4 linked regions of the Stegostoma tigrinum genome follow. The protein of the gene in region 2 purifies or fractionates together with the protein of the main gene of each other region. This does not show direct contact. Links are inferred from orthologs where the notes say so. Each region holds a gene or a part of one and is shown on either strand. Other genes may lie near its edges.

Region 1 (7,693 bases), on a different chromosome or scaffold from region 2:
CAAACCATACGCTGTTCCTGGCTTTCCCTTACACCTACATCAAAAGCCAACGCTCTCCATTCCCAAAACATGTTTATTGAGCACTTTCAACCATCCCTCACTTGTTTAGGTTTTAACATCTGACTTGATGAGTGGGTGAGTGAATTTATACTGTGCTAATGTCTTACAAATCTCCAAAGCACAACACATCTTGAAGATACACATATCCCAAGTCTTTAGTCATCGATGGATTAGAATGGCAACCAGTATTGACATTAGACAAATATGACAAGTTTGTTTTGTAGACTTTTTATTCCCCTAAGCAGATTGGATTTACAAATGTAGACTCAAGCATATCTCAACAACAACTCAATGATGTTAAGAACATGTCTCAGTAGCAGCAAAGTTGAGTCAAAATCAAGTCCCAGAGCACACCATTGACTGGCATTCAAGGATACTGCTGAGTGGGTGCTGCTCTGTCACAGGCACTGGCTTGGCCTTGTAGTGTACATTGAATCCCTACAGCGTGGAAGCAGGCCATTCAGCCTGAATTTAGAATAAACCTTTGAAAAGCATCCCAACTAGACTCACCATGCTACCCTATAAACATGCATTTCCCATGGCCAATCCACCTAACCTACAAATCTTTGGACTGTGGTAGGAAACTGGAGCACCCATAGGAAAACCACACAGATTCGGGAAGAATGTGCAATCTCCACACAGGCAGTCACCCGAGGGTGGAATCGAGCCCAGGTCCATGGCATTGTGAGGCAGCAGTACTAACCATTGAACTACCGTGCTGTCCCAACTACAATTTTTAAGGGGATGTGAAAGAGCCTTTGCATTGATTTGAAGAAGGGCAGTGAGTTCTAACAACAACCAGACCAATTTTCAACCTTCCATCACTAAATAAACAGCTTATTAGGACATAGCTGTATATGCGGGCTTGCCATTTTGTCCTGCCATTTTTAAATGTGGTGTCACAGAGTCTTTCACATGTGCTCAAGAAAGAGACAGACCGGGCCTTGCCCCTACATCTCATCTGAGAAATAGCGTCTTCAACAGTTGAACTCTTGTTCATACTACATTGAAGCAGCTGCCTAAATTTTTGTGTTCAGACCCGCAGTCTTTGAAATGAGACAAGAGTGGTACCCCCAAGCTACAGCTGACATACAAGATATTACAGAGCATCTCTGATATTGGAAGAAAGGACATTGATAAATTCAGAAACTGCATTTCCTTGCTAGCCCAATTTATGGAATTATTGGAGGACAGGAGGCCATTCAGCCCAGACTTTGAGCTTTGACCCTTTCTTCCTGTTAGCAATATGAAATATTTCAATTCCATCCTCAACGAAAGGCGTTCTGTGCTTGTGCTGACTCTTTGAAGGAACTATTCAATTAGTCCATTGCCTTGCACCTTCCCCTCAGCTCTCAAAAACGTTCCCTCTTTTAATCTGAATCAATTTCATTTTGAATGGCCGCATCTGCTTTCACTGCCCTTTCGAAGCTGTACATTCCTTTCCACAACTATGTCCATGTACAAAAAAACTTTCAATTTCCCTCTGCTTCTTATGTCAATTTTATCTATTTATCCTAAGCCTGTGCCCTCTAGTTACCAACACTCTGGCCTATAGAGACAGTCACAGTTCTCAATCTCAACCATCTCACTCACAAAGCTGGGTGGGACAGGATGCAGACAAGTTTCAGTGTTATTTGGCTAAGGTTGGACGAGCAGGAAAATGCAAGGCAGGTGATGCATACTGTAGATAAACGTGAGGTTACTTTACTTTAGTAACAAAAATAGAAAGGTAGGTTATTATCTGAATGGTGATAAATTGGGAAAGAGAGTACACTTGTCACTGAAAATATGCATACAGGTGCAGCAGGCAGTGGGGAAGACAATGGAACGTTAGCCTTTGTAATGAGAGGATTCGAGCTCAGGAGCAGGGAAGTCTTGTTGCAACTGTACAGGTTCTTGGTGAGACCACAGCTGGAGTATTGTGTGTAGTTTTGGTCTCCTTAATCTGAGGAAGGATGTCCTGGCTATGGAAGGAGTGCAGCAAAGGTCTACCAGACTGATTCCTGGGTTGGCAGGACTGAAGTATAAAGAGAGACTGGATCAGTCAGGATTATATTCTAACAGGACTAGACAGTGTAAATTGGGAATGATGCTCCTAATGACTGGGCAGACCAGAACCAGGAGTCACAGTCTAAGAATACAGGGTAATCAGTTTAGGATTGAGATGAGGAGAAACTTCTTCACCCAGAGTCTTGTGGAATTCTCTTTCACAAAAGGTGACAGAGGCCAAAACATTGAATGTTTTCAAGAAGAGTTAGATATAGTTCTTAGGGCTAAAGAGATCAAAGCGTACAGGGAGAAAGTGGGAAGAGGGGGCTGACTGGGATGACCAGTTATGATCATATTGAATGACAGAGCAGGCTTGAAGGGCCAAATGGCCAGCTCCTGCTCCTATATTTCAAAGGAACTCGCTTGCCCTCAGTTCCCAAGGAAACATCTATTCAGCATGGCCATTCAAACGGCCTTCAGTGCTCTGGGTAATTCTGGTTGAGAAACCATTCCTGCCACAAAATAACTCTGTGCTGACTCAAAACGGTGGCAGGAAGTGTCTCATGGAGAAGGGAATGTTGCAGTCCACAAAACACTGACACAAACAGCATTGGCTCTCTAATGTCCCTCACCGGCTCCACAAGGAAATTTTCTCTAATTGGGAGTGAATGACACACACACACACACACACACACACACACACACACACACACATACACACACACACACACACACACACACACACACACACACACACACACACACACACACACACCATCTGTCCCACAGCACTAACCGGTGGATTCAGAGTGACTCCACTTCACTCAGCAGGCCATGAGTTAACATTCATCTTCAGCAGTCCTTCAGCAAATCCTGGAAACTGTTTTGAAATGAATTGCACTCTGAAGGTTAAAGTTTGTCTTTCTGTGTTTGTCTCCTCTCCAAATGTGTTCAACATGTCCTGTCCTGACACGATTCATTATACAATAAACTGACATGGCCCTTATATTGGCTCTCTCTGCTGCCTGGGTTGCTACGGTGGTATGTATTTTGGTGTCATGTTGCACTAACTTCCTCCCTGAAGTTTGTGCAGAATGCCAGAGTACTATTACAGCAGTAAAATGTCGACATAATGCATTGTTAACCCTCTTCGGTCATCATGGGTTTTGAATTACATCTCCCTTCTGCAGTCAAACACCGGTGAGAGGTCTACAGAGTCTAGTTGTAGTGGGAGCTGGGTCAGAGTTTGCTTCTTGAGCTTCAAATGCCTGGACTCTGCTGATTGACAGGAGTCTAAAGGAATGGCTTCAAAGTCACAACTGCACTCCCTCCCCCACCATCCCCACACCCCAGGGGGACAACTTGTTCAGCGATGTTCTTGGGAATCAAAGTCTGGCATGTGGATTTCTTAAATTGAGAAGTTTCTCTCCCTCTCACTCTCTGCTGAATTGTTAGCCATATCTGTTACTCTGAGTACAAATGGGGTAGTCAGTCAGGAATATAGGAGAACGCACACAAACAAACAAGCCACTGCAGGACGTAAGTGGTTGGGAGGGCGGCACGGGGGAGAGAGAGAAGGAAGGGAGGAAACACCATTCGAGTTAGCTTGGGATACAAAACAACATTTTTTTGCTCAAATTTCTGCCAAGCATCTTTGGACACAATTCCAACAAGTTTTTCCATTGACATGTTCATCAAACAGTAAATCACAAATTCTTCCCTCACATTGATTGCCTGGAAATAGCATTTGCAAACCAACAGCAGTGTAATGTATGGGAGAATAACAAAGGATTGCTGAATTGTCGTTCTGAGAAACAAAGCCGTTAGACAATGATCTATGATAATAAAATGTGAGGCTGGATGAACACAGCAGGCCAAGCAGCATCTCAGGAGCACAAAAGCTGACGTTTCGGGCCTAGACCCTTCATCAGAGAGGGGGATGGGGAGAGGGAACTGGAATAAATAGGGAGAGAGGGGGAGGCGGACCGAAGATGGAGAGTAAAGAAGATAGGTGGAGAGAGTATAGGTGGGGAGGTAGGGAGGGGATAGGTCAGTCCAGGGAAGACGGACAGGTCAAGGAGGTGGGATGAGGTTAGTAGGTAGCTGGGGGTGCGGCTTGGGGTGGGAGGAAGGGATGGGTGAGAGGAAGAGCCGGTTAGGGAGGCAGAGACAGGTTGGACTGATTTTGGGATGCAGTGGGTGGGGGGGAAGAGCTGGGCTGGTTGTGTGGTGCAGTGGGGGGAGGGGACGAACTGGGCTGGTTTAGGGATGCAGTAGGGGAAGGGGAGATTTTGAAACTGGTGAAGTCCACATTGATACCATATGGCTGCAGGGTTCCCAGGCGGAATATGAGTTGCTGTTCCTGCAACCTTCAGGTGGCATCTTTGTGGCAGTGCAGGAGGCCCATGATGGACATGTCATCTAGAGAATGGGAGGGGGAGTGGAAATGGTTTGCAACTGGGAGGTGCAGTTGTTTGTTGCGAACTGAGCGGAGGTGTTCTGCAAAGCGGTCCTACATTGGGGAAACCAAGCAGAGGCTTGGGGACCGCTTTGCAGAACACCTCCGCTCAGTTCGCAACAAACAACTGCACCTCCCAGTTGCAAACCATTTCCACTCCCCCTCCCATTCTCTAGATGACGTGTCCATCATGGGCCTCCTGCACTGCCACAAAGATGCCACCTGAAGGTTGCAGGAACAGCAACTCATATTCCGCCTGGGAACCCTGCAGCCATATGGTATCAATGTGGACTTCACCAGTTTCAAAATCTCCCCTTCCCCTACTGCATCCCTAAACCAGCCTAGTTCGTCCCCTCCCCCCACTGCACCACACAACCAGCCCAGCTCTTCCCCCCCACCCACTGCATCCCAAAATCAGTCCAACCTGTCTCTGCCTCCCTAACCGGCTCTTCCTCTCACCCATCCCTTCCTCCCACCCCAAGCCGCACCCCCAGCTACCTACTAACCTCATCCCACCTCCTTGACCTGTCCGTCTTCCCTGGACTGACCTATCCCCTCCCTACCTCCCCACCTACACTCTCTCCACCTATCTTCTTTACTCTCCATCTTCGGTCCGCCTCCCCCTCTCTCCCTATTTATTCCAGAACCCTCTCCCCATCCCCCTCTCTGATGAAGGGTCTAGGCCCGAAACGTCAGCTTTTGTGCTCCTGAGATGCTGCTTGGCCTGCTGTGTTCATCCAGCCTCACATTTTATTATCTTGGAATTCTCCAGCATCCGCAGTTCCCATTATCTCTGAGACAATGATCTATAATGATCAATTTGTACTTGGGCTTCCCCTGGCCATAAGCAGGCAAGGTGCAAATACACAACTAGCACATGACCAGGAGGTTGCCAGAGTCTTTACACAAGCAAGGTGATGCAGACAACAGAGTTTCAACGTTCACAAAGCAAGGCCAATGGAAAAGTACTAAAAGGCTTTTCCTAGAACGTTGTAACTGGATATAATTTAGATTATGAGGTACAGAAACCACGGAGCGGAGATCTGTACGATGGGAACCAGCTACAGGAAGGTCACATACAGATGTCAGCACAAAGCTGGAGATGAGCTGTTTTTTATACACTCTGGAATCTGGGATTCTGTCAAGCCGTGGTACAGTAATGTGTGAGTGGCAACCTTATGAAACAGCAAGAAAACCCCTGCAAGGTACAACTTTTCACTCACTCAACTCCCTCCATTGTGAAAGCGAACAGGAATCAGCTCACTACTTAATGAACTATCACTCCCATACTCCCACAGGAAGGAATGAAGCACAGAACATAAACGCCGTCCAAGCAACAACACAGCAACAATGGGACGGGTAATCAAAGCCACCAGTCTCTGTTTTTGCGCACCTATCACATGAAAGAAACCACGTGACCTTTAACCTTATTCCTTGTACCAGTCCCAAACATTTGCGACTCTTTGCATCCTTGGTTGGTGTTTATTCACTTCTCCGCACGCTTCCTCGGGAGACACACATGGAGCATTGGAAGGATTTGCAGATGATTCGCAGGACCAGTGTAATCCATCTTTCCAGGCCACGCCATCCTTATACCAGTCTTTAAACTTTTGTGAGCCCTCACAATGTTTACAATCAGAGAAGATGTCCTCATATCCAATGGATGTTAAAGGGTTATTTAGCTCAGTTGTCGGACAGCTGATTCGCAATGCAGAGTAACACCAATAACATGGGCCTAATTCCCGCTCAGGCTGAGGTTATCAAAAAGTTTGCAATGAGCATCCTATCTTGTTCACATCAGCTGAGCTTAAGGTTAACCTTAGCCTAAGGTGGCCTTTAGGTTAAACTTACTGCCAGTTGTCTCTCACTCCATGTCCAATGAGACAGCAGCCCTAACGCCCCCTGGGACTATAGCGACTTTACCTTTAACATGAAGGGCCTTCCTTCTCAACCTCACCCCTTTCCTGAGGAGTGGTGATTCTCAGGTTAAACCACCACAATCTCTTTCTAATGAAGCTGCAGCTCCAGGGCCCATTGGGAGCGCAGCAACTTTATTTTACTTTTTACTGTATGTTAATACAATTACGAATTGGGAGCTTTGGTCTTCACTGCACCCTCTGACTCTGGGGGGGCATGGTGTGTCCAAGCACACCATGCCCCCCCACCAACTCATTCACGGAAACAGATGTCACTGATGGGACCAGCATTCACCGCCTTATTGTCAGATGATGATGAATCTAACTTTGGCTTGCCAGGCTATTTTAAAGGGGAGGGCAGTTTAAAAGCCAACCACATTATTATGGGTCTGGAATTATGTACAGGCCAGACTGGGTAAGGGTCACTGAAAAGTGTTACAATGCAGACAGACACCATTTGGCCCATTCTGCTTGCATCAACTCTTCAAACCAGCTTCATTTCCTCATGCCAATCTCCTAATCTCCTGCTTTAAATCCACCCCCCCCCATACCCTTACATATTATTTTTGTCTGAATAATCATTCAATATGCTCTTGAATGCTTCTTGATATCACATTTCTATCCTACACTAAAGGAAATCTGTGAATGAGATGGATGCTGTACTATTGTTCTATAGTTTCTTGGTCACCATTATTGTGGCAAGATTTTTAATCCAGTCTGAAAAGATAACTCGATTGAAAATGCATTCCTCCAATACTGTGTTGAGATTTACTCAAAACTTCCGAGCCCAAAGCCCTGTGAATTACGGTCTGATAACATAACTGCTATATTTGCACTCTCTCATCCACTATCGCCAACCCCAAGGCTCCTTTGTCTCACAGTGCCAACAATGAAAGCTTATGGATTTATAGAAATCACTGAACCCAACATAATAACATAGCCATGGATATTTTCTGACAAGCAGTCAGCACATTCACAGAAGCAAGGTTTATTTCAGTATATATATGTAATTTCTTATATTAAACAGCATCACAGACATGAAACAAATGCAATGTAAGATTAAGAGGACGTTTTAGATATAATGAAAACTAAATATTTAACAGGCACTGCGCCCATTCCTACAAAATCACAAGCTGTCAGTAAATGTGCTGACTTCGATTTAACAATGCAACTCATTCTGGAGGACAGGGCTAATTCTAAGTGACACATACAGCTGCCGTGTACTGGTATTATTTTTAGACAAGGCTGTGTCTAACAAGCTCTCTGTGGT
Region 2 (7,619 bases):
GCCAGGATTAGCCAAATTATTGCAATAAACGGACCCATTTATAATGTTTGGCATTAGAGATGGCCCAAATAAATCACCTTAGTTTACTCCATTTGAGTTGACATTCAGACACAAAGTAAGACGGCCTTTAAAATTAATTAAGAAAAATAAATAAATTGTTATGTCTTACTTATAAAGTGGATATCAGGGATTTTCTTTCATTTTTAACCACACTTTTAACAAATTATAAAGGCGAGGCGAGCTTCTCTGGGTGTTTCAGAAGGGAACCCTCTAGTACGACTAGTATTTTGGTTTTATCCTATTAGACGGGTTTGACTTACCCCTTCTCTGGAACAAGTGCATCAACCACGCTGTCTGCTTCCATGTGTAAATTTTTATTCCTGGAACACGGGCTTTGCTGGCAGGGCAGTATTTTATCGTCAGTCCCCAGTTGCCCTCAGAAGATGGTGAGCTGCCTTCTTGAACTGCAGCAGTCTACCTGCTGTGGGTTAACCCACAATGCTCTTCAAAAGGGAATTCCAGGATTTTGACCCAACAACAGTGCAGGAATGGTGATATATTACCAAGTCAGGATGATGAGTGGTTTGGAGAGGAACTTGCAACTGGTGTTGCTCCCATGTATGTATTGCCCTTGTCCTTCTAGATGGAAATGGGTGTGGGTCTGTAAGATGCTTCTGAGGATCTTTGGTGAATTTCGGCAGTGCATCTTGTAGCTAGTACATACTGCTGCTACTGAGTGTCAGTGGTGGAGGGTGTGAATGTTTGTGCATTTGGTGCCAATCAAGTGGGCTGCTTTGTCCTGGTTGGTGCCAAGCTTCTACACTGTTGTTGCAGCAGGCAAGTGGAGAGTATTCCATCACACATCTGACTTAGAGTCATAGAGTCATAGGGATGTACAGCATGGAAACAGATCCTTTGGTCCGACTTGTCCATGCCAACCAGTTATTCTAAACAAATCTAGTCCCATTTGGCAACATTTGGCCCCTATCCCTCTAAACCCTTCCCATTCTTATGCCCATCCATATGCCTTTTAAATGTTGTAATTGTACCAGCCTCCACCACTTCCTCTGGCAGCTCCTTCCATACACATGCCACCCTCTGTTTGAAAACGTTGCCCCATAGGCCCTTCCCCTTTGACCTTAAACCTATGCCCTATAGTCCTGGACTGCCCAACCCCAGAGAAAAGACTTTGTCTATTCACTCTATCCAGTCCATCATGGTTTTATAAACCTCAGCCTCTGATGCTCCAGTGAAAATACCTCCAGCCTATTTAGCCTCTCCCTTTAGCTCAAACCTCCGACCCTGGCAATATCTTTGTAAATCTTTCCTGAACCCTTTCAGGTTTCACACCATCTTTCCTAAAGCAGGGAGACCAGAATCGCACTCGGTATTCCAAAACTAGCCTAACCAATGTCCTGTACATGATCTCCTAACTCCGGTACTCAATGCACTACCCAATAGTATACCAAATGCCTTCTTACTCACTGCAGTATTCCTAGCCTTTGACCTGCTCTCCTAGCCACTGTGTTTGTGCAATTAGTCCAGTTAAGTTTCTGGTCAATGATAATCCCCAGGATGTTGAAAGTGGCGGATTCAATTATGGTAACACCATTGAATGTTAAGTGGTGATGGTTAGATTGTCTCTTATTTGGTCATTGCCTGGCATCTGTGTGGCATTAGTGTTAATTGCCACTTGTCACCCCAAACCTGGATATTTTCCAGATCTTGCTGCATTTCATTATGGACTGCTTCAGCATCTGAGGAGTCGTGAATGATGCTGAACATTGTGCAATCCCTACATCTGACCTTATATTGGAGGGACAGTCATTGATGAAGCAGCTGAAGATGATTGGGCCTAGGGCACTACCCTGAGGAACTCCTAAAGAGATGTGCTGGAGTGGAAATGACTGACCTCCTACAACATCATCTGCCAGGTATGATTCCAACCAGCAGAGCCTTTGCATGGCCTCACACTCCCCGATACCCATTGATTCCAGTTTTTCTAAGACTCCTTGATGGCACACTTGGTTGAATGCAGTCTCGATGTCAAGGGCTCTCACTCCCACCTCACCACTGGAATTCATCTCTTTTGCCCATGTTTGAACTAAGGTTGTAATGAGGTCAGTGGCTGAGTGGCCCTGGCAGAACCCAAACTGGACATCACTGAGCAGGTTATTGCTGAGCAGGTGCTGCTTGACGATAGCACTGTTGATGACACCTTCCATCACTTTACTGATGATTGAGAATAGACTGAATAGTATTTGGTTGGGTTGGATTTGGCCAGCTTGTTGTGCAGAGGACACACCTTTGCAATTTTCCAAATTTGAGTAGAAGCCAGTGTTAGAACTGTACTGGAAGAGCTTGGCCAGAGGAGTGGCATTTTCTGGAGTACTTGTCTTCAGTATTATTGCTTGAGAGTTGTCAGGGCCCATAGGCTTTGCAGTACCCAGAGCCTCCAACCATTTCTAGATATTATGTGGAGTGAATCAAATTGGCTGAAGAATGGTATCTGAGATGCTGGAATCATAGGAGAAGGCCATGATGAATCATCCACACAACACTTCTGGCTGAAGATAGTTAAAATTGCGCAGACCATCATAGAAGCCAACCTTCCATCCATGGACTCTATTTACATGACTCATTGCCGTGGAAAGGCTGTCAACATCAAAGACCCATTGCACCCCGGTAATGACCTCTTACAACCTCTTCCGTCAGGCAGAAGATACAGAAGCTTGAACACATGCACCATTATTAGACTGATGAATAGATGCCTTAGGCTCAAATAATGCTGATCTTGCTAACACTGATCTCACTTAGTGTACAACCTGTGCGAGGTAACCTGTATGCCTCTGTCTTCAGCTGTATGTTTTGTACTAATGTGTTGGGTTCTTCAATAATTGAGAATGGGATATTTGATTGATTGATTGATTTATCATGTGTACCTGAGTACAGTGAAAAGCTTTGTTTACGAGTCATACAGGCTGATCATCGTAAGCAAGGATGCACAGATCAAAGATTGTAAAAACTTAGACAGACGACACTTTCCTATTTATATTCTAAAGATTTTTGGATTTTTAAAATGTTCATTTGTCAGTTTTGTCTTCATCCCCCTCTGGACTTCTCAACCTGACGGCATCTTACTCTCTGTGTTTTTTGTCTTTGCTTACCCCACCCATGTCTCTCCTAACAATGTACCTTGATTGCAACTGTTCCAGCTCTTCTTTAAAAATAAGACCATTGTTTTGTCTGCTACTGTTTAATGCCAATTTACCTGGGGCAGATCCGTTCTCACCATACAGAATTTGGCTCTATTCCAATTAAGCATTTAGACTCTAAATGACATATTGTTTCTTTCAGTTGCCAATTTAATCTTATGATACAATGATCACTGTTTCCTACACATTCCCTGACTGACACTTGATCCAACTCATTCCCTTAATCGAGGTTCCACAATGCCCTCTGAGCTCATTGGACCAGGAACATACAAATCAAGGAAATTTCCATTAATGCATTTCCAAAATGCTTCTCCATCTCTGCTCTTTATACTGTTAGTATACCTCAAAATGTAGCTGGATTATTAAAGCCCCTATTCTCAATATTCTTCAGTTTGTTTGTATCTCTGTGTGTAATTTAGCTGCAAATTTATTCCTCTGTAACTTCTGAACTCTAGAAAACACCCAGTATTACACCTTTATTGTTTCTTTGCTCTGAGTAGATTCAGAAGTTCTGAGGAAGGTTCACTCAATCTGAAATATTAAACTCTGATTTCTCTCTATGACTGTCCGCAGATGTTGCCAAACCTGCAGAGCTTTTCTATCAATTTCTGTTTTTGTTTCTAATTTACCGCATCTGCAGTTCATTTGGTTTTTGCTTAGTTCAATGCTATCTCTCTGAATCTTTTGCAGACCTTGTTTCTTCTTTCTAATGTTACATGCTATTTCCCAACCTTTGCCAATCAGCTAAGCATCCCATGAGGACATTGGTCCTAGCTTTGTTATGGTGCAACCTGTCAGCCTGTACAGGTCCCATCTTCCCATGAACGATCCCCAGAGATGTAGGAATCCCTCATTTCTGCACCATCTCTCCAACCACACATTTTTCTGTGCTTTTGCTTCTGTACCATCTAATTCTTGGCATTGGAGGTAGTCTGGAGACTAATTCTTTGAGGTCCTGAATGATAGTCTCCATGCCAGCCCACAAAGGTCTTCCTATAAGACCTCACCCCTCTTTCTACCTGTGCCCACTAATTTGGATCATGACCTCTGCTTGTTCACTTTTCCCCTTCCAAGTGCCCTGTAGCCACACAATATATCACGGCCTCTGGCATTGGGGAGACAACACACCTTTCTGGATTCATAACTGCAGAAACAGCTATTTCCTTTCATGTATATTCCGTCACTACTGCACTTGTCATGCCAAGGAACCATCTCTCTTCCATGAAAGAGCGAATTGTCTTCTATGCACTCAATAGCTGATTGTCTTCCGGTCACCCAATCCAGCTCTGCCTGCACACTCTCAGTGCCAGCTCTCGAATTCACGGAACAGACGGCAAGGGAGAGAGGACCAGTCGATACAGTGTGGAGCTGGAGGCACTCAGCAGGTCAAGCAGTTTCAGGGATCCTTCATCAGATCATGTGTGCAGTTCTTGCTATCTCCAAGGGAAGGAAGACATTGGGAGCGTGGTAGTGAATATATGCAGTATTTAGTGATGAAGTTTGGCCCTCAGCGCAACACCGTAATGATTTATCTTCACCTCAGTCTGTGCGGCTAGGAACGCGCTTTGCACGTCTGTGGTTGAAGCTGAACGCTGGATTTGCAACGTTGCGGTGCCGTGAGCGGCCAGGGCGGGGAGACACTGGGTGCTCCAGGTTTTGCTTCCCTGATTTTGGGCTGTTCCTCCGGCAAGGCTGTGCTCGGCTCCACTCCCACAAACAGGAACAGGTGGCGGCAGGAAGAGGCGCCGTGTACAACCCGAGCGGGGCCGCTCGCACCACCATGAAACAGAGCATTTCATCGCACGGGGCGGAATAAAGGAAAGATACAACCTTGCAGCCGGCAGCGGTGAGAGAGGAAAGGAAACAGATTAACCGCCAACCCTTTCTTTATTTTGGGTTGAGCCGACGAGACCCTTGTGCAACAGAAGCTGCGCGCTGTTGTTACCGAGACGAGTGATGAAAGTGACCGTCTGCTTCGCGAGGACCAGGGTGGTTGTTCCTTGTGGAAATGGGGCCATCACGGTGCACAGCCTGATCCAGCAGGCGGTGACCAGGTACCGCCGTGCCATCGCCAAGGTGAGTGAGGGCAAAATAAGGGGAGCGGAGTGGCGGCGGACACAATGTATCCAGAGACCAGCCAGGAGCAACATGGCGCTTCCTGATATTCACATTGGATACAAGCTTTCACCTCCCTCTGTGCTTAACGAAGGGAGGGTGAGTGCAGAAAGAGGAGAGGAAACGAAAACAAAATACAAAAGCCGCGACCATAAAGTTAAAGCTTTTCGCACGGCCTCCTCCCCTCCCTTTTCTCCACAAGTTTTGAAATCTTTTTTTTCTTATTATTAAAAAAGTTTTTCGTAACTTTATCCCCCGGCAGATTTGGGTGTATTTTTCTCCTGTCTGTAAATTTATTTTCTTTCCCCTCCCTCGGCGGGGGAGAAAAATACAAACTGGTGTGAGGTGAAATGGAGCGGCCTCGGACTGTGAGAAGAAGGTGACTCAACTCCAGCTCGAGGCTTTCCCAAACACGGAGGCCTCGGACTCCTTTCCTGGGAAGTATTTGACAAGAATTTGGGTTTCATGTTTTCGAACGATCGATTAAATTCCGTAGACGAGTCGCTGATTACTGATGATACCGAAATACGAATAGGAACAGAAGCGTTATTTCCCCCTCTCTCATTTCCAGTCAGTCTTGTCAGTGAGATGATTGCATGAGTAGGATCGGAATTCATTGGCTAATAACGCTGTTTTCGCATCAAGCAACAAAAGAAACGAATTTCTGCTTGAGATGGACACATTGCTCCCCTCTAACTGGTGTCTAATTTAAAGTCATCTCATTGTAGTAAATTAGATTCGTAACTTTAAAATTAACTCTAAACGTTTTCAGACTAGTCTGTTGGGTAATTAAAACAGGGTTTACTTTCTCAGAAAAGTGTTAAAAATAAGAGTTGGAAAGTTTGGCCAATTAGCCAAAGTAGGTAAATGGAAAATATAACTAAACTACATGGACCTTTAATACTGATCAATTGTTGAAGTTAATGTACTGTTAGTGTGAACTATGATTAAAAAGTGCGTTTTTTTTTATTCTTTGCATAGTTAGCACAAGCAAATGAAAGTGTAATTTTCACAAACCTGTCAATTATTTTGAAGAGCTGTGAACAGTTGTGACCTTGAAATTCCTGCCACGTGCATCTTTTAACTCTTGACCAAAAGCATATACATATAAATCTATTTGGTTGAGTTGAATTGTATTCCAACTCTAGTTAAACTGAAAGTGGAGGTTTGTGTTGAATCGGATAATTGGTCGCACAAACTGTATTGCCTACTTTGTGCATGGACTAACTTTTTAATCAATAGTTGAGATGTACCGGAAATGTAAGGTTAGGTATTAGTGGTAGCCTGCTGTAAATGTATTACTTCACAGTGCCACAAAACTACTGGCTAAATATTTAACGTTGTATCAGAGATAATGGGAACTGCAGATGCTGGAGAATTCAAGATAACAAAATGTGGAGCTGGATGAACACAGCAGGCCAAGCAGCATCTCAGGAGATGCTGCTTGGCCTGCTGTGTTCATCCAGCTCCACACTTTGTTATCTTAAATATTTAATGTTCCTTGATTATAATTATTGTGATTTTCTGTATGTTCCTGTGTAGTTAGAATTTGCAAATGTGTATTTACTGTGCAAGAAATATTCGAATAATTGGCTAAATAGTTTGCTTGAGGTATATTTTTGGATTGATTTTTGAAAAAATGTGATGACATATCCTTTGTGTTATAATCCTTGCCACCCAAGCAGTAAGTTTTGTAATGAGTGGACAATTTTTGATGACTTCCCATAAACTTAATTTTAAATGTTATTCATTCACCTTGGTTGCATGTTTAATGTCTAGTTTTCAATTGACCTTGCACTGGATAAAGCCTTAACAAATTCCTGTGGGGGAAAAAAAAATTCTCATCTAAAGCAAGTCATTCATCACCGGAAAAATTGTTGGTTGCTATTTAGGTTAAAGAAAAAGTTTTAATACTGATACAGGTGGGAATGCAGGATTTGATCTGTAAATGCATTAAGAATGAAAACAAGGTATTCATGAATTGAGCGGAATAATGGATCTCATATTTATATGCAGACAGCACTTGAACAGGTCATTGAGGATGTCACAAAACACTTGATGCATGTTGAATTACTTCTCAACTGCAGTCATTCTTAATTTGCAGAGGGGAGTGACAGTTTCTTTGCAGACAGCACAATCTCGAACAGTAATGAGATGAATGTTCAGTTGTTTTGTTTTGAATGATCTTTACTGAAGAAAAGCTGTTGAACAGTTGAGGAAACCTTGCTGTTCTTGTTTGAATACACAGTCTTAATACTTGGTTTTTTGTGCCACGTGAAGATAAGCACC
Region 3 (7,216 bases), on a different chromosome or scaffold from region 2:
AAAACATACTTTTACTTATTTTTCCAGTCAGACTCTAGTAATTCAACAAAGCAGTCATGTGCAAGCAGAGAACTGCCAGCCTTTCATACCATCACAAGTCTGATCTTGTCCTCACCTAAATCCAATATGCACACTTGTAATCACTAAACAGCAATACCCAGCAAGAATTCTGACTGACGATCCCTTCTTTAATACAGGAGCTCTTTAAAACAAGCAAATCTCAAACGGAATAGATCATGCAAGTCAGCAAAGACTGAAGATTCAAATTCCTTTCTTGTTATTAATGTTTTGTAATAATTAGCACAAAGCATTCAACATCCTATCAGATACTTCTCCTGGAACAAATACAAAGTAGATGAATATTTGATGGATATCACTGGCTCTACTGATTTGTGGACATAGTGTGCTGTCTGTTTTCAGCTCACGTATGTATTGCACTACAACAGTAAAAAGTGCTTCACCACAAAAAAAATCACTTTTATGCTGAGCAATGATTTTTCAATGCTCTTAATTTATCACGCAAATTGTTTTGCAGCACTACCCTCAGTATTTCAGTATTCAGACAACTGAAAATTCTGCCTGTAGACAAAACCCAAGTTTGAGGGGACATAAGAAACAAAGTCAGCATTTGAAGAGATGGATTTTTTTTTTCCATCGATGGTGTGAAGTCATCAAGTCAGAGTATGAGGCACAGGGAAACATCCTGTGACCCACTATCGCTACCTGATGACCAGGATGGATATCAACTCTAATCTCATTTCCCAACACTTGGCCTGTAAGCTTGTATATTGTGTTATTTCAAATGTTCATTGAAATAATGCTTAATTATTGTAATGATTCCTTCCTCTACCAGCTTTTCAGGCACTGATTTCAAAACACCCAAACCCTCTGGGTGACACAAGTACTCCTTAAAGACCCTCTGAACATCCTGTCCCTCACCCTTAAAATCAATGCACTTTGGTTCACTTTACCATATATATGCAATTCAGTTACTTTAAAATTTGTGAATCAAAAACTTCTAACTATGTTTGGCAATGCCAAAATAGCTCTAGTTATAATTAATGTGATTTTGATTCTTGACAAAGTACGCAGCTTTCAATTCATCTGTAAGTAAAATCTGGACAATATCACAAGATACTCTATAGTCAGAATATCACTTCCTTTGACCCAGTATTCAATTCCTTTTAAGTCTCACCTCTGCAGCAACACAAGATGTCGTGACATGAGGTGCTATATAAACAACTGAAAATTACAGCATAAGTTTAAAGCTACACTCATTAAATCTCATTTTGTTGGTAACACTTGAAGGTTACCTCAGAGTACAACAGGACCTTGATCAGATGGGCCAGTGAGCCAAAGAGTGGCAAATGGAGTTTTATCTAGATAAATGTGAGGTGTAACATTTTAGTAGGGCAAATTAGGACAGGAATTATACGCCTAATGGGAAAGTCCTGGAACGTGATGCCCAACAAAGAGACCTTGGCGCACACATTCATTATTCCTTGGAGGTGGAGTCACAGGTAGATAGGATAGCGAAGGCGACATTTGGTACACTTGCCTTTATTAATCAGTGTATTGAGTATAGGAGTTGGGGTGTCACGTTGCGACTGTACAGGACATTGGTTAACTCGCTTTTGTTATACTACATTCAATTCTGGTCTCCCTGTTATATAAAAGATGTCATTAAACTTGAAAGGGCTCAGGAGAGATTTATAAGGATGTTGCCAGGGATGGAAAGCTTGAGCTACAGGGAGAGGCTGAATAGGCCAGGCTATTCTCTCTGGAGTGTCAGGTCTGAGGGGTGACCTTAGGGATTTATAAAATAGTGAAGGTAAATGGTCAAGGTCTTCTATCCTAGCCTGGGGAATCCAAAACTAGGCTGCATAGGTTTAAGGAGCGAGATAAAAGATTTAAAAAGGGTCCAAGGGACAACTTTTTCACACAGCGGGTAGTGTGTGTATGGAATGAGCTGCCAGAATTAGTGGAGGAGGCTGGTACAATTACAACACTTAAAAAGTACCTAGCTGGGTTAATGAATAGGAAAGGTTTTGAAGGATATGTGCTGCTGGCAAATGGGACTAAGTTAATTTAGGATATCTGGTCGACATTCACAAGTTGTATTGAAAGGTCTGTTTCTGTGCTGTACACCTCTATGACTCGATTAAACCACAATGCTGCCACATTTCCTGTAATATACAACGACTAGCCCAAAAAAGGCATTTCATCTTTGCATGGCACTTTCGGCAAATAGAAGTTGGTGAGCGAATGTGAAGACTTTCAAACAGTCAGATTTCTTTCTCTTTTTGGATCTTTATGCCCCTTTACTATGATCCACAATGGTTCTCCTTCCAATAATCCCTCTACCCTCCACTGGCCATAGTCCTGCATCTACGTTTCAGAGATTCCACTCTCCCCCTGACAAAAAAAAGGACCCTTCATCCTCCTGGATCCTATAGCTCCCCTTCCCCTCCTCAATCTTACAATTCCCCCATTTTCAATTTCCCACTAAATTTACCCAATCCACCTTCCCTCAAACAACGCGCCAGATCGCCTCGCCCACCCACAACTTCCCAGCTCCCCTTCACCTCCCACCCAAATTCTCAGCTTCTCCCTCTCTTACTTGGCCCTATGCACCAGCATCCCAAACGCTATTCCCACTCTCAGATCCTATCCCCTTCACCTCCCAGGCAACACCCCAACTCTCCACCACCAACAGCCTCTTTCTCCCACACCCCGACCCAACCAAAAGACAAAGTCTCCTGTCCGCGAGGGGAGGAGGAGGAGAAATCCCTACCCGAGGTTTGGCGGGCGGGGGTGGGGGGGGGGGGGTCTCTGCCCGGCCGCGTTTCTCGCCCTTACCCTTTGTAATAGGCTTTCATCCGGACCTGGTGGTGATTCTCTGCTGTGTAGGACATCATACTGTCCCTACTTGTGGGCATGTCCCTGTCGGAGCTCCGCAGAATAGCCGCTCTCATATGACTGTCCGGCCGTTCACCTCAAATCCTCCCCGCGCCCCACCGGCCGTTCGCTCGAGCTCGTCCGGCCCAACCAACAGACACCCGCTGCGCGCGCACCACCGACCGCCACACCATACAGGAAAGGTCGGCGGGGGCGAAAGGATTACATGACCCAATACGCAAGGCGCTCTTCACAACCATCTCTTTGGCAGCATTAATATTATAAATGTTATAAAATTTCTGTCAATTTTCATCTAAATTTTTGCATTTCGGTGTTAATTATTTTAGGTTGTATGATTTCCTTATCATCTACCCTGCATTTTCACTTTGGATTGGTCTCCGGACCCGCCCCCGTCGTAAGGGGCAACCGTAACGGGGAACTCTGGGATTTGTAGTCCAATATATTTGGAGCGATTTGGTTATTCAAAACCGAAACAACTGTGGATCCTGTAAATCAGAAACAAAAACAGAAGTTGCTGGAAAGGGTTAGTAGGTCTGGCATCATCCGTGAAGAGAAACGTTTCGGGTCCGGTGACCCTTAGAATTTGGTGATTCACCTGCCTTGTCAGGTTTCTATGAGATAGGGTGTAGAACCGAAACTTTCACTTGTTGGCACATCCACTTGTATTTTAATCAATTTTTGTTTGCAGAAGTCAGTTCCTACTTTCTAAATATCCTTCTGCATATCGACAAGTCAGTTCTATTTTCAAATGTAGATTCACTTTGACATGATTTGGGGCTTCTTAGGACATTTTTGCGACATAGAGATGTTTTATAAATGCAAGTTATTATTATTAAATTGTTCATGTTTTACCTCTTTAGATTTTCCTATCAAGTTCAACAACAAAAGTAACGAATACAGTGAAACTTTATTCGAACAAAGCCGGAAATAAACGTATTAGTCGGACTGAGAGAGGAAAAAAAAGACCTGTTTGGTGTAGACAAAGGTGTCGATTACTCATTGTAGGTGTGTTCCGCTCATTATTTGTTTTTACATTCAGTAAGGCGAATTATGTATCGCCTACCAGAAGGTGACCTACAGATTGCCTAAACATCAGTATTCTTTTCAACGCCTCTTTGCCGAATTAAAACTTGTAAATTCACGGCAGCGTCATGGCAGCTGATCCAGCGATACAGCCTAGTCCAATTTTCCGGCTCTTAGGCTGTAGTCTTGTAGATTACAGCACTTCAAGTACTCCAAAAAGTTTTTTAAACCCATAAGGGTTTCTATTTCAATCATCCTCCCCGACAGTGAGTTCGAAATTCTAATCGTGTACAGCGTGAAACAAAATCTCCCCAAATCTTGTTTTCCTCCTCCAGTTTCATCTTGTTTTATAATCAACAGGAAAGTAAAAGTTACAACAACTAGTATTTATATAGCTCTTTAAAGTAGTTAAAACATCCTAAGGCACTCCACAGATGTGTTATTAAACAAGGACTGACAATGAACTATACTGTTCATTGAGATAGCTTTTAAGACACATCTGAAAAGAGGTAGAGAGGCAGTGTGCTGTAGGGAGGGATCTCCAGAGTTTAGAGACAGGATAGCTAAAAGTGCAACTGCCAATGGTGAAACAATTAAAACTGGAGATGAGAAAGCAGTCAGAAGTGGAGAAGCGACTAGGAGGTAGCAAGAACTGCAGATGGTAGAGTCAGAGTCAATACAGTGTGGAGCTGGAAGAGCACAGCATGTCAGGCAGCATCCGAGGAGCAGGAAAGTTGATGTTTTGGGTTTACACTCTTCATTAGGCCTGGTCCACGAGGATGTAAACCCAAAAAGTCGACTTTCCTGCTCCTCTGATGCTGCTTGACCTGCTGTGTTCCTCTAGTTCCACACTGTATTGATTGGAATTGGAGAAGCGTAGGGTTCTCAGACAGTAATGTGATTGAAAGAGGTTATAGACCATAGAACTATGGGGTAGGTAATAGTTGAGTGGTATTAGTGCTCGCCTATTAATCCAGAGACCCAGGTAGTGTTCTCACGTCCTGGGTTTGAATCCTACCATGGCAAACATGAAATTTGCATTCAATAATAATCTGGAAATAAGAGTCTGATTTTGACTATGAAACTATGGCTGATTGTCAGGAAAACCCCACCTGGTTCACTAATGTTTTGTAGGGAATGAAACCCGCTTGCCTTTGCTGGTCTGGCCTGCATGTGACTCCAGGCCAGCAGCAGCAATGTGGTTGAAATGTTACTGAGAAATTAAGGATGAACAATAAATGCCCACTAACTAATAGCTGGCTAGTCCTACCCACGTCCCTGAATATATATTTTTAAAAATTGGCAAGATCTTGGAAGAAACTGAATGAATAGTAAAATTTAAAACTGAGACATTGCTGATCCCAGAACCAATATAGGTCTCTGAGAACAAGGATCATAGAGTCATACTTTGGAAAAGTGTGGATGTAATAGGGTTGTTGTAATGGGTGACTTTAACTTTCCTAATATTGATTGGAACCTCCTTCCAGCAGAAGATTTGAATGGAGCTGTTTTTGTAAGGTGTGTTCAGGAGTGTTTCCTAACTCAGTACGTTGACAGGCCGACGAGGGGAGAGGCATTAACAGGGGGATTGAGTTTAAGAGTCGTGAGATCTTGTTGCAGCTCTATAAAACTTTGGTTAGACTGCACTTGGAATACTGCGTCCAGTTCTGGTCGCCCTATTATAGGAAAGATGTGGATGCTTTGGAGAGGGTTCAGAGGAGGTTTACCAGGATGCTGCCTTGACTGGAAGGCTTATCTTATGAAGAGAGGTTGACTGAGCTCGAACTTTTTTCATTGGAGAAAAGGAGGAGGAGAGGGGACCTAATTGAGGTATACAAGATAATGAGAGGCATAGACAGAGTTGATAGCCAGACTATTTCCCAGGGCAGAAACGGCTAACACGAGGGGTCATAGTTTTAAGCTGGTTTGTGGAAAATGTAGAGGGGATGTCAGAGGCGGGTTCTTTATACAGACAGTTGTAAGAGCATGGAATGCGTTCCCAGTAGCAGTTGTGGAAGCAAGGTCATTGGGGACATTTAAGAGACTGCTGGACATGCATATGGTCACAGAAATTTGAGGGTGCATACATGAGGATCAATGGTCGGCACAACATCGTGGGCTGAAGGGCCTGTTCTGTGCTGTACTGTTCTATGTTCTATAGAGTCATGGATGAAGAGATTTTATTTCAAATTTGGACACAGGATAAGTATGAAATAAGAGCAGAAGTGGACCATTCCACCTCACAAATGCTGTTCCATTCAATAAGTTCAAACCTGATCTGTTTATGTTTCAAATTCCATACTCCCAACTACCCAACAAGCTTTGATTCCCTTGCCTAACAAGAATCAAACCACCTCTGCCTTAAAAAAAAATCAATTTCTCCACTTCCTCTGCCTCCTATGGGAGAAAATTCAAAAGTCACACAAGCCTCTGAAAGAAAGCAAACCCTTAGCCCTGTCATAAAATTCTTACAGTGTGGAAAGAGGCCCTTTGGCTGAGTGTGTCTGGATTGGTCATCAACCAACTACTTGTACCGTTTTGCAGCAGTTAGCCTGTAACCTTGTATGCTATGGCAATTTGGTGTCCATCGAAATAGTTATTAAATTCCCTGAATGTTCCGACCTTTAATACCCTTTGAGGCAATGAATTACAAATACAGGCAACACTGGAGAAAAACACCTTCCTCAGATTTCTTCTGAACCTCCTGTTCCTTACATTAAAACTGTGCTTCCTGGTTATTGAACCCTCCATAAACAGGAAATATTTCTCCTCATACTCCCTGTATTTGCCCTTAGAATTTTGTACATCTCAGTCAGAACTCCTCACTCAGCCTTCGCTACTCTAAGAAAAATAATTCCAGCGTCTCTAGTCTATTTCCACAACTGAGTCATTCCAGCCCAGGTAATATCCTTGTTGAATCTCTTCTGCATCCAGTCTAGTATAATCACATTCTTCTGTACTGTGATGAGCAGAACTGCATGCAATAATCCAGCTGTGGTCTAACTAGTGTTATATGCAGCCCCATCATAACTTCTTTGCTCTTGTATTCAGTGCCTTGGTTAACAGAGGCAAATATCCCACATGCCTCCTTAACCATCTTAACTAGCTGTCCTGGTGCCTTCAAGGATCTATTGACCTGCACACCAAGGTCCCTCTGATTCTTTGTACTTCCTGGAGTCCTGCTATTCAGTGTGTACTCCCTTGCCTTGTTCATCCTTCCAAAATGCAAAATCCTTACCTCATGCTTTCTAGGATTAAATTCCATTGTCCAAAG
Region 4 (7,683 bases), on a different chromosome or scaffold from region 2:
CAGGCTATGTGTTATACCTGCATTATGTGGGACGGTGTGGACCTCATTATGGTTCGTAGTGACCACATGCGTAGCAAGTGTTGATTGCTTCAGGAACTCCAGTGCAGATCTGATGAGCTGGAGTCTGAGGTTTGAAGACTGCATCACATCAGGGAGGGTGAAAAGTTGCCTGGATGCTCTGTTTCAGGAGCAGTCACACCCCTCAAATTTGGTCAGTGGTCAAGGACAAGAGGGTGTGACTATGAGTGAGGCAAGTAGAGGAATGTGCAGAGGGTAGTGCTGAAGGGGATTTAACCGAGACCTTGTCTGACATGTTTGACATTTTTACTTCCTGTATGGATGAGAAAGGGAGGATGAACAAACTGACCATAGTACCATTGAACAGAGAGACATTCAAGAGGAGAGAAAAAAAGAGAAAAGTAATTGTAATCAGGGATAGTATAGTTAGGAGAATAGACACTGTTCTCTATGGCCAGGATCCAGGGACCTGAAGGTTGAGTTGCCTGCCAGGTTCCCAGGTTCAGGATATCTCAGCTGAGCTGCAAAGAGGCTTGGAGTGGTAGTGGAATGATCCAGTTGGCACGGTCCACATAGGTACCAATGTTAATTGGTAGAAAGAGGGCATAGAGCAGCTCGGGGACAAATTAAAACTCAGAACCAAAAAGATGATAATCTCCAGATTACTACATGAGCCACAGGCTAACTGATACAGGTGCAACAAGATTAAAGAGGTAAACGTGTGGTTCAAAGACTGGTATCGGAGAAATGGGTTCAAATTTATTGAACATTGGCACCAGTCCTGGGCAATGAGGGAACTGTTCAGATGGGACAGGCTCCACCTGAATCATGCTGGGCACAGTCTTGGTGAATCACATAACTATGACTTTAAACTAAATAGCAATGGGGGGGAAGGGGTTCAATTGCAATTATGTAGAAAATTATGGAAAAAGTTTAAGGCTGAGGGTAGGACTCAGCAGAGGTTATTAAAGTTTCCAGAATAAATAATAAGACAAAGAGGATGGAAAGTGTCAGGAATCCAACTTCAGGTATAGCAGATATGGGGACAACTATGAGAAGTGGCAGCGATGGAGTGGAATTAACACAGGACTGAGGGTGTTGTACGAAAATGCATGCAGCATATGAAACAAGGTAAATAAGCTTTTGCACAGTTTGAAATTGACAGGTACAATGTTGTGGGGATCACAGAGATGTGGCTGCAAGAGGAACAGGGCTAGGAACTAAATATTCAAAGATACATGTCCTATGGAAAGAACAGGCAGATGGGCACAGGGGGCTGAGCAGTCTTGTTAGTAATAAATGAAATTAAATCAATAGCAAGAAGTGATATAGAGCAAGACATGTAATCTGTATTGAGGAATGGCAAAGGAGAAAATCACATGACTCCAGCAGTAGTCGGGATTTGGGGAAGAAAATAAATCAGCAGATAGAAAGGACACATTAGGAAAGGCACTTTTACAAAAATGATGGGTACTCCAAAATGCACGTAGACTGGGAAAAGCAGGTTGGTAGCAGATCCCAAGGAAAGGAATTTGTAGAATGTCTACAATATGGTCCTTTGATGCAGCTTGTAGCAGACCCCAGTAGGGAACAGGCAACTATAGATTTGGTGATGTATAATGAGGCACACTTGATTAGGCAGCTAAAGGTGAAGAAACCCCATGAGGCAGTGATCGTAATACGATAGAATTCACTCTGCAGTTTGAGGGAGAGAAACTGGAATCAGATGTAATGGTATTATAATCGAGTAAAGATAACAACAAAGACATGCTCCGGAAGCTGGCCAGAGTTAGTTGGAAGGGGAGCCCAGGAGAGCAGGCAGTGGGGCAGCAACAGCAGGAGTTTTTAGGGGTGATGTGGGAGTCACAGCAGAAATTCATCCTAAGGAAGAAGAAACAAGGCAACTGTGGCTGACAAGGGATGTCACAGACAGCATAAAAGCAAAAACAAAATGATGTGGTGAAGATTAGTGAGCAGCCAGAGGGTTGGGAAACCTTTTAAAACCAGCAATAACTAAAAGCACAATAAGAGGGGAGAAGATGAAATATGAGGCCAAGCTAGTTAGTAACAAATTAAGACTACAAAAGTATTTTCAGATATGTAAGAGGTAAAAGAGTGGCACGAATGTGTAATGATTGCAATGAGGTCAGCCAGGTGGACTTCAAAGAATATGAGTTCCCTGATTGGGGCTGATAATCTGGTTCAAGCAGGGATCCCTTGCTGACAGGTAAAAACAGAAGTGTCAGATATCCCAACACTCTGGGAGTTGACTCTTTTGAGGCTGTACCACCGTCAAGGACTTTCCATGTGTAAATAATGGGTGACTTTGTGATGGGATATCTGCCTGTCTGTAGTTATTTCAGAGTGGACTCAAGAGAATCAGGGGGCAGAGGTAAGCATCATTAAAGAGAAGGTGCTGGGGAAGCTAAAAGGTCTGAAAGTGGATAAATCATCCAGACCAGATGGACTACACCCCAGGGTTCTGAAGAGGATAGCTGAGGAGATTGTGGAGGCATTAGTGCTGATCTTCCAGCCATCAGTGGAGTCAGGGAGCACCCACGGGACTGGGAAAAGACTAATGTAATACCTCTGTTTAAGAAGGCAGGGAGACAGAAGACAAGAAAACATAGGCTAGTTAAGTCCAATTATTAAGGATGAGTTTGCAGAGTACATGAAAGTGCATGGTAGAATAGGGCTGTGTCAGGACAGCTTTGTCAAGGGCAGGTCATGCCAGACAAATCTGTTAGAATTCTGTGAGGAGTAACAAGCAAGTTAGACGAAGGAGAGTCAGCAGATTATGTATTTGGATTTCCAGGAGGTCTATGACAGTGTGCTGCACAGGTTGCTGTTAAATGAGTCCTGACAGAGGCAAGGTACTGGCATAGACAAACAATTGGCTGACTTATAGAAGGCAGAGAGTGGAGATAAAAGCATCGTTTTCATTATTGGTTGGGGATCCAACTCTCATTTTTGTGATAGTTTGATTCCTGTGGTACTGTATCAATTACAGATTCATATAGAAAATGGTCTGTTATCCCAACTCTCTATTTCCTGTTGAATTACCAATCCTCAATCCATGTTAATATATTATCCCAACACCTCAAGCTGTTATCTTGTGCAATAACATCTTTAGGTGGCACCTTTCTGAGCACCTTTTGGTTCAAGTTCACTACATCTGCTAGAGATAATGGGAACTGCAGATGCTGGAGAATTCCAAGATAATAAAATGTAAGGCTGGATGAACACAGCAGGCCAAGCAGCATCTCAGGAGCACAAAAGCTGACGTTTCGGGCCTAGACCCTTCATCAGAGGACCCTCTGATGAAGGGTCTAGGCCCGAAACGTCAGCTTTTGTGCTCCTGAGATGCTGCTTGGCCTGCTCTGATGAAGGGTCTAGGCCCGAAACGTCAGCTTTTGTGCTCCTGAGATGCTGCTTGGCCTGCTGTGTTCATCCAGCCTCACATTTTATTATCACTACATCTGCTAGTTCTCTTTTATTTATCCTGTTTATCACATTCTGAAATCATCAAATAAAATGTCAAAAATCATTTCCCTATAATAAAATTATGCTCACTCAGATCGATAGTGCTATAGCTTTCTAAAGGTCCTACTTCTATTTGCTTGGATTTATACTTTCCCAATCTCAATTTCTGATGGGATCAACGTTAATTACACTCTTCCGTTGTAGAACTCTAGCTGTTTTTATATCTCGACAGTCACTATTTTTTTTCCCTCTCCAAGAGCTTAAGTCAATGTGCGATGGCGACGGAGTAGGGAAGAACATTCGGGAAGGAAAATTGAGTTTTAACAGTTGAGAACGACTAGGGTCTGGAAAGGACCAACAAAACGGGGGAAAAATTCTGAAAACTTTAAAATCGTTAGTGAAACTGATTTTAATTAGCTTCGGCCGCAAGCATTTGATCGAAGAATGAAAATCAAATAATACAAAGCATAAAATCCACAACATTAACTAAAGGTCCTTTAAATAGCATCTGAAAAGAGAATATTCATTTCTAAGGTGATGATGCGGACTAAGTCTTTCATTTTAGGCTTTCTTACATTTATCAGTAAAGTTAGGATAATTATGCCGAACAGATAGCAGAAGTTTCAAACTTGTTCACTGAACTTTGAAAAACTTTTGCTTCAGCTGTTACTCTTGGGATGTCATCCCAGACACCTACTTGATACCTGCTTCCTCAAGGCATGTCTGACACCTGGACGCGCGATGGTGTCAACCACCGCCGGGGGCGCGCGCTTTTAAAAATGCACGAAGGCCGGGCGGACAAGGGAACTAAAGAGTAGGAGCTGCAGCTGCTGAAGAATCTGAGATAACAAGGTGTAAGAGCTGGATGAACACAGCAAGTCAAGCAACATCAAAGGGGCAGGAAAGCTGATGTTTCGGGCCCAGATCCTTCTTCAGACAATAGAATGAACGGGTGTCCGCTCGAAATAATGCAGCGGGTTGAGTGCGCGTACACACACAGGTGAAACCGAGGCTGGGTTTCCGGGGCGAGTGACGTCATCTGGTAACGAAGTCGGAGTTTGCCGGTCGTTAGGAGGGGGCGCGAGGCTGAGCTGCGGGTGGGTGGAGGAGGAACTGGGCACGCGCAGCCGCTACTAACCGGCTGGAGGCGGCGGAACCAGTGTTCGAACGAGTTTGGCGAGGGTCTGAGATTAGTCCCGGATCTTTTACGTACTTTACCCCCACCATCTCCCTCATTGCACTCGGGCCGATTCAAATTGCTGCCCTTGGAAGATCGGGCGAGCAGTTGGCACGAAAACGGCCAACAAACGTTCTTCCGAAAATGATCAAGACTCATCACCGGACGGCGTCCAGAAGCCTGGAGACCGTGGAGGTGAAGAGTAAGGTGTGTGTGTATAAGGAGGCGCAATGTCCGAGGAAAGGCGGAGGGAACTTCGTGCTTTGCCAGTCAGTAGTTGTAGGGAAATTAATACCACGGCCCCGGCTAATGTTGGCATAGGATCTGTCAGCAGGCTGCTGAGGTCAAGGTTCAATCTGACGGTCAGATACAGGCCTGTTCCAAAAGGAGATTTTAGAGCAATATTTTATGTTCTTTTCTACGGTTTGTTTATTGGGAGTTGGAACAGGTGACAGTACAGTTCAAGGAAGTAATAAAGGCGTCGAGATCTTTCAGAGAACAGCCGGCGGCGGTAACAAGTTTTTGTGCAGTTCATTGCGTGTTATTTTAATGCTTCTTGCTTTTGTAAGAAATTTCGTAGTAAAGAGGCTTGTAAATGCCAACACAAAGCAATTAGCGATGTAGCTAAAATTCGTGTTCCCATAAGGATTTGTCTGGAAGCTGGTTAAAATGGAAAGGGAATTTGACGATCCTATGTAAGTTGATCGGTTTCAGCCCAAAAAGAAAGCAATCTGCACTAGATGCACACAGGCTTATAAAAATTTTCTTGTTGTTTGTCAGATCTTACTAACTTGTGTTTTATTTCAATGTGAATTAATGTATTTAAAATAAACAGAATTAAGTGTATTAAGTTGTCAGAATGAAAATTTTTGACTGGTTTTTTGACAGAAACCTACTTTGTGTGCAAACAATTTGGCTATTTTATTGTAATATTAGCAATCATTGCCTGTCTGAATAGACTTAACTACATCCAAAACTCTCTCATCGCATAAATGGCTTGATCACAACTTCCTTAATTAGACCATGTTTCCTATGTACTTAAATGTTTATCTACTGATGCCCAGAGTGGATGGGCTCCCAATTTATCCCAATCACAAAACAACTTGAATGTGTAAGAAATCCATATGTTTCTGTTGAAGTGGAAGGTAGTAAATATACTAATGTTATATTTGCTTCAAATTGAATGTATTGGTAATTTATTAAGCAACTTGACAAAAGTGATCAATGTTTTAGGGTTAGGATCCTTCTTCAGTCCTGACTATATTGACTCTGCCTCCAGCATCTGCCTCAGCCACCAGTTCTTGCTATCTCTGAAGAACAATGAAGATTTCTAGCATTGTAAAATTGTCTGATGTAGAAAATTTAATGATTAAATGTCAGATAGCTGGTCCAAGAGTTAGTTGAAGAAAGGAAGTGGTGTAATAATGACCATGAGCTTCTGTTATTTGTTGGAGAAACCAATCTGGTTCGCTAATGTCCTGTAAGGAAAGAAATTGCCATCCTTCCCTGATTTGATCTAAATGTGACTCCAGACCCTCAACAACATAGTTGATGGTTAACTACCAACTGGATGATTAGTGATGGGCAGTAAATGCTAGCCTACCCAGTGACATACGTATCCCAAAATGAATTTTTTTTAAAAAAAGAAAATATTAAAGTGATAACGTCTTGTATATTCTCAGTTAAGTGATCTGATTCAGGGTGTTACTTTTAGTTTATTTTATTGGCTTCTGTTCTGTTCATAATATTTTGGATGCATTGAATTCGTTGCCTTTTCCAACTCCCCTAGTTTTAAAATACATGATATCCTTTTCAGACTTCAAACATCTAGGATATTGTCATGTCTATAGGTGAACTGGAGTATTTGCTCTTTTAAAACCTTTGTAGAAACAAACCACGATCACTTCATCAACCTCTGGATTCAATGCATCATTCTCCGCCTGTTCCACCATCTACAATCTGACCCACTGCCAAGGATATATTTCCCTCCCCAGCCTTATCTGCCTTCTGGAGGGACTGCTCCGTGTGACTCCCTTGTCCGCTCCACACTCCCCACTAGCCCCACCAGCCCTAACATTTTTCCCTGCAACCGCAAGACTTGCCACACCTGCCCCTACACCTATCCCTACACCTACCCCCTCACCTCCATCCCAGGCCCCAAGAAAATCTTCCACATCAAACAGATGTTCACTTGCACATCTGCTAATGTGGCATATTGTACCCGTTGTTCCCAAAGTGGCCTCCTCTGCATTGGGGAAACTAAGCAGAGGCTTGGACACTGCTTTTGTGGAGCACCTATGCTCAGTTTGTGACAAACAACAACACCTCCCAGCCACGAACCACTTCAGCTCCCCTCCCACTCCTTGGACGACATGCCCATCCTGGGCCTCCTCCATGATGCCACTCGAAGGCTGGAGAAAAAGCACCTCCTATTCCGCTTGGGAACTCTGCAGCCTAATGGTCTCAATGTGGTCTTCACAAGCTTCAAAAGCTCCCCAACCCTGACCTCATCCCAAGACCTGGTTCATCCCCGCCTCCTCGACCTGTCAGCTTTCTCTCCCACCTACTCGCCCCTCCCTCCCTTCCTCCCTCCCTCACTGACCAACCCCCATCCCAACTCCCTACCTACACTCACCCTTACTGGCGTCATTCCTGCCTCCTTGACCTGTCCATCTTCTCTTCACCTATCTGCTCCTCTATCCACCTTCTATCATTGACTCCCCTCTCTCTATTTATTTCAGAGCGCCTTCTCCTCTCCCATTTCTGAAAAAGGGTTCAGACCTGAAAGGTCAGCTTTTCTGCTCCTCTGATGCTGCCTGGCCTAGTGTGCTCATCCAGCTCTACAGCTTGTTATCTCAGATTCTCCAGCATCGACAGTTCCTACTATCTCTAAACAAATAAAATGTTAATTTTGATAGACTGTAGAATTATGGTCTGTAACAGTTGCATTCTAAGTTCCAGATTGGATTGTGTTAGTGCATAATTATCATTGAGCTTCGTGCATT

The links.
Region 1: the proteins of partitioning defective 3 homolog (region 2) and rassf8b purify together in Homo sapiens (affinity purification with mass spectrometry; 4 studies listed by BioGRID and IntAct, counting the BioPlex papers as one, with this or other methods). This does not show direct contact. The link is inferred for Stegostoma tigrinum from reciprocal best matches to the Homo sapiens genes PARD3 and RASSF8.
Region 3: the proteins of partitioning defective 3 homolog (region 2) and prkci purify together in Homo sapiens (affinity purification with western blotting; 5 studies listed by BioGRID and IntAct, with this or other methods). This does not show direct contact. The link is inferred for Stegostoma tigrinum from reciprocal best matches to the Homo sapiens genes PARD3 and PRKCI.
Region 4: the proteins of partitioning defective 3 homolog (region 2) and pard6b purify together in Homo sapiens (affinity purification with mass spectrometry; 5 studies listed by BioGRID and IntAct, counting the BioPlex papers as one, with this or other methods). This does not show direct contact. The link is inferred for Stegostoma tigrinum from reciprocal best matches to the Homo sapiens genes PARD3 and PARD6B.

What each region holds. Positions count from the first base shown.
Region 1 is NC_081378.1:48,632,264-48,639,956, reverse strand, and holds the start of rassf8b (ras association domain-containing protein 8b), read right to left. Parts: upstream 3,039-7,693; 5' UTR 2,846-3,038; intron 1-2,845.
Region 2 is NC_081355.1:130,248,386-130,256,004, reverse strand, and holds the start of partitioning defective 3 homolog, read left to right. Parts: upstream 1-4,553; 5' UTR 4,554-5,171; coding exon 5,172-5,291; intron 5,292-7,619. UniProt on the Homo sapiens protein: Adapter protein involved in asymmetrical cell division and cell polarization processes. Seems to play a central role in the formation of epithelial tight junctions. Targets the phosphatase PTEN to cell junctions.
Region 3 is NC_081367.1:60,928,015-60,935,230, reverse strand, and holds the start of prkci (protein kinase C iota type), read right to left. Parts: upstream 3,050-7,216; 5' UTR 2,976-3,049; coding exon 2,860-2,975; intron 1-2,859.
Region 4 is NC_081372.1:40,635,049-40,642,731, forward strand, and holds the start of pard6b (partitioning defective 6 homolog beta), read left to right. Parts: upstream 1-4,635; 5' UTR 4,636-4,822; coding exon 4,823-4,885; intron 4,886-7,683. UniProt on the Homo sapiens protein: Adapter protein involved in asymmetrical cell division and cell polarization processes. Probably involved in formation of epithelial tight junctions.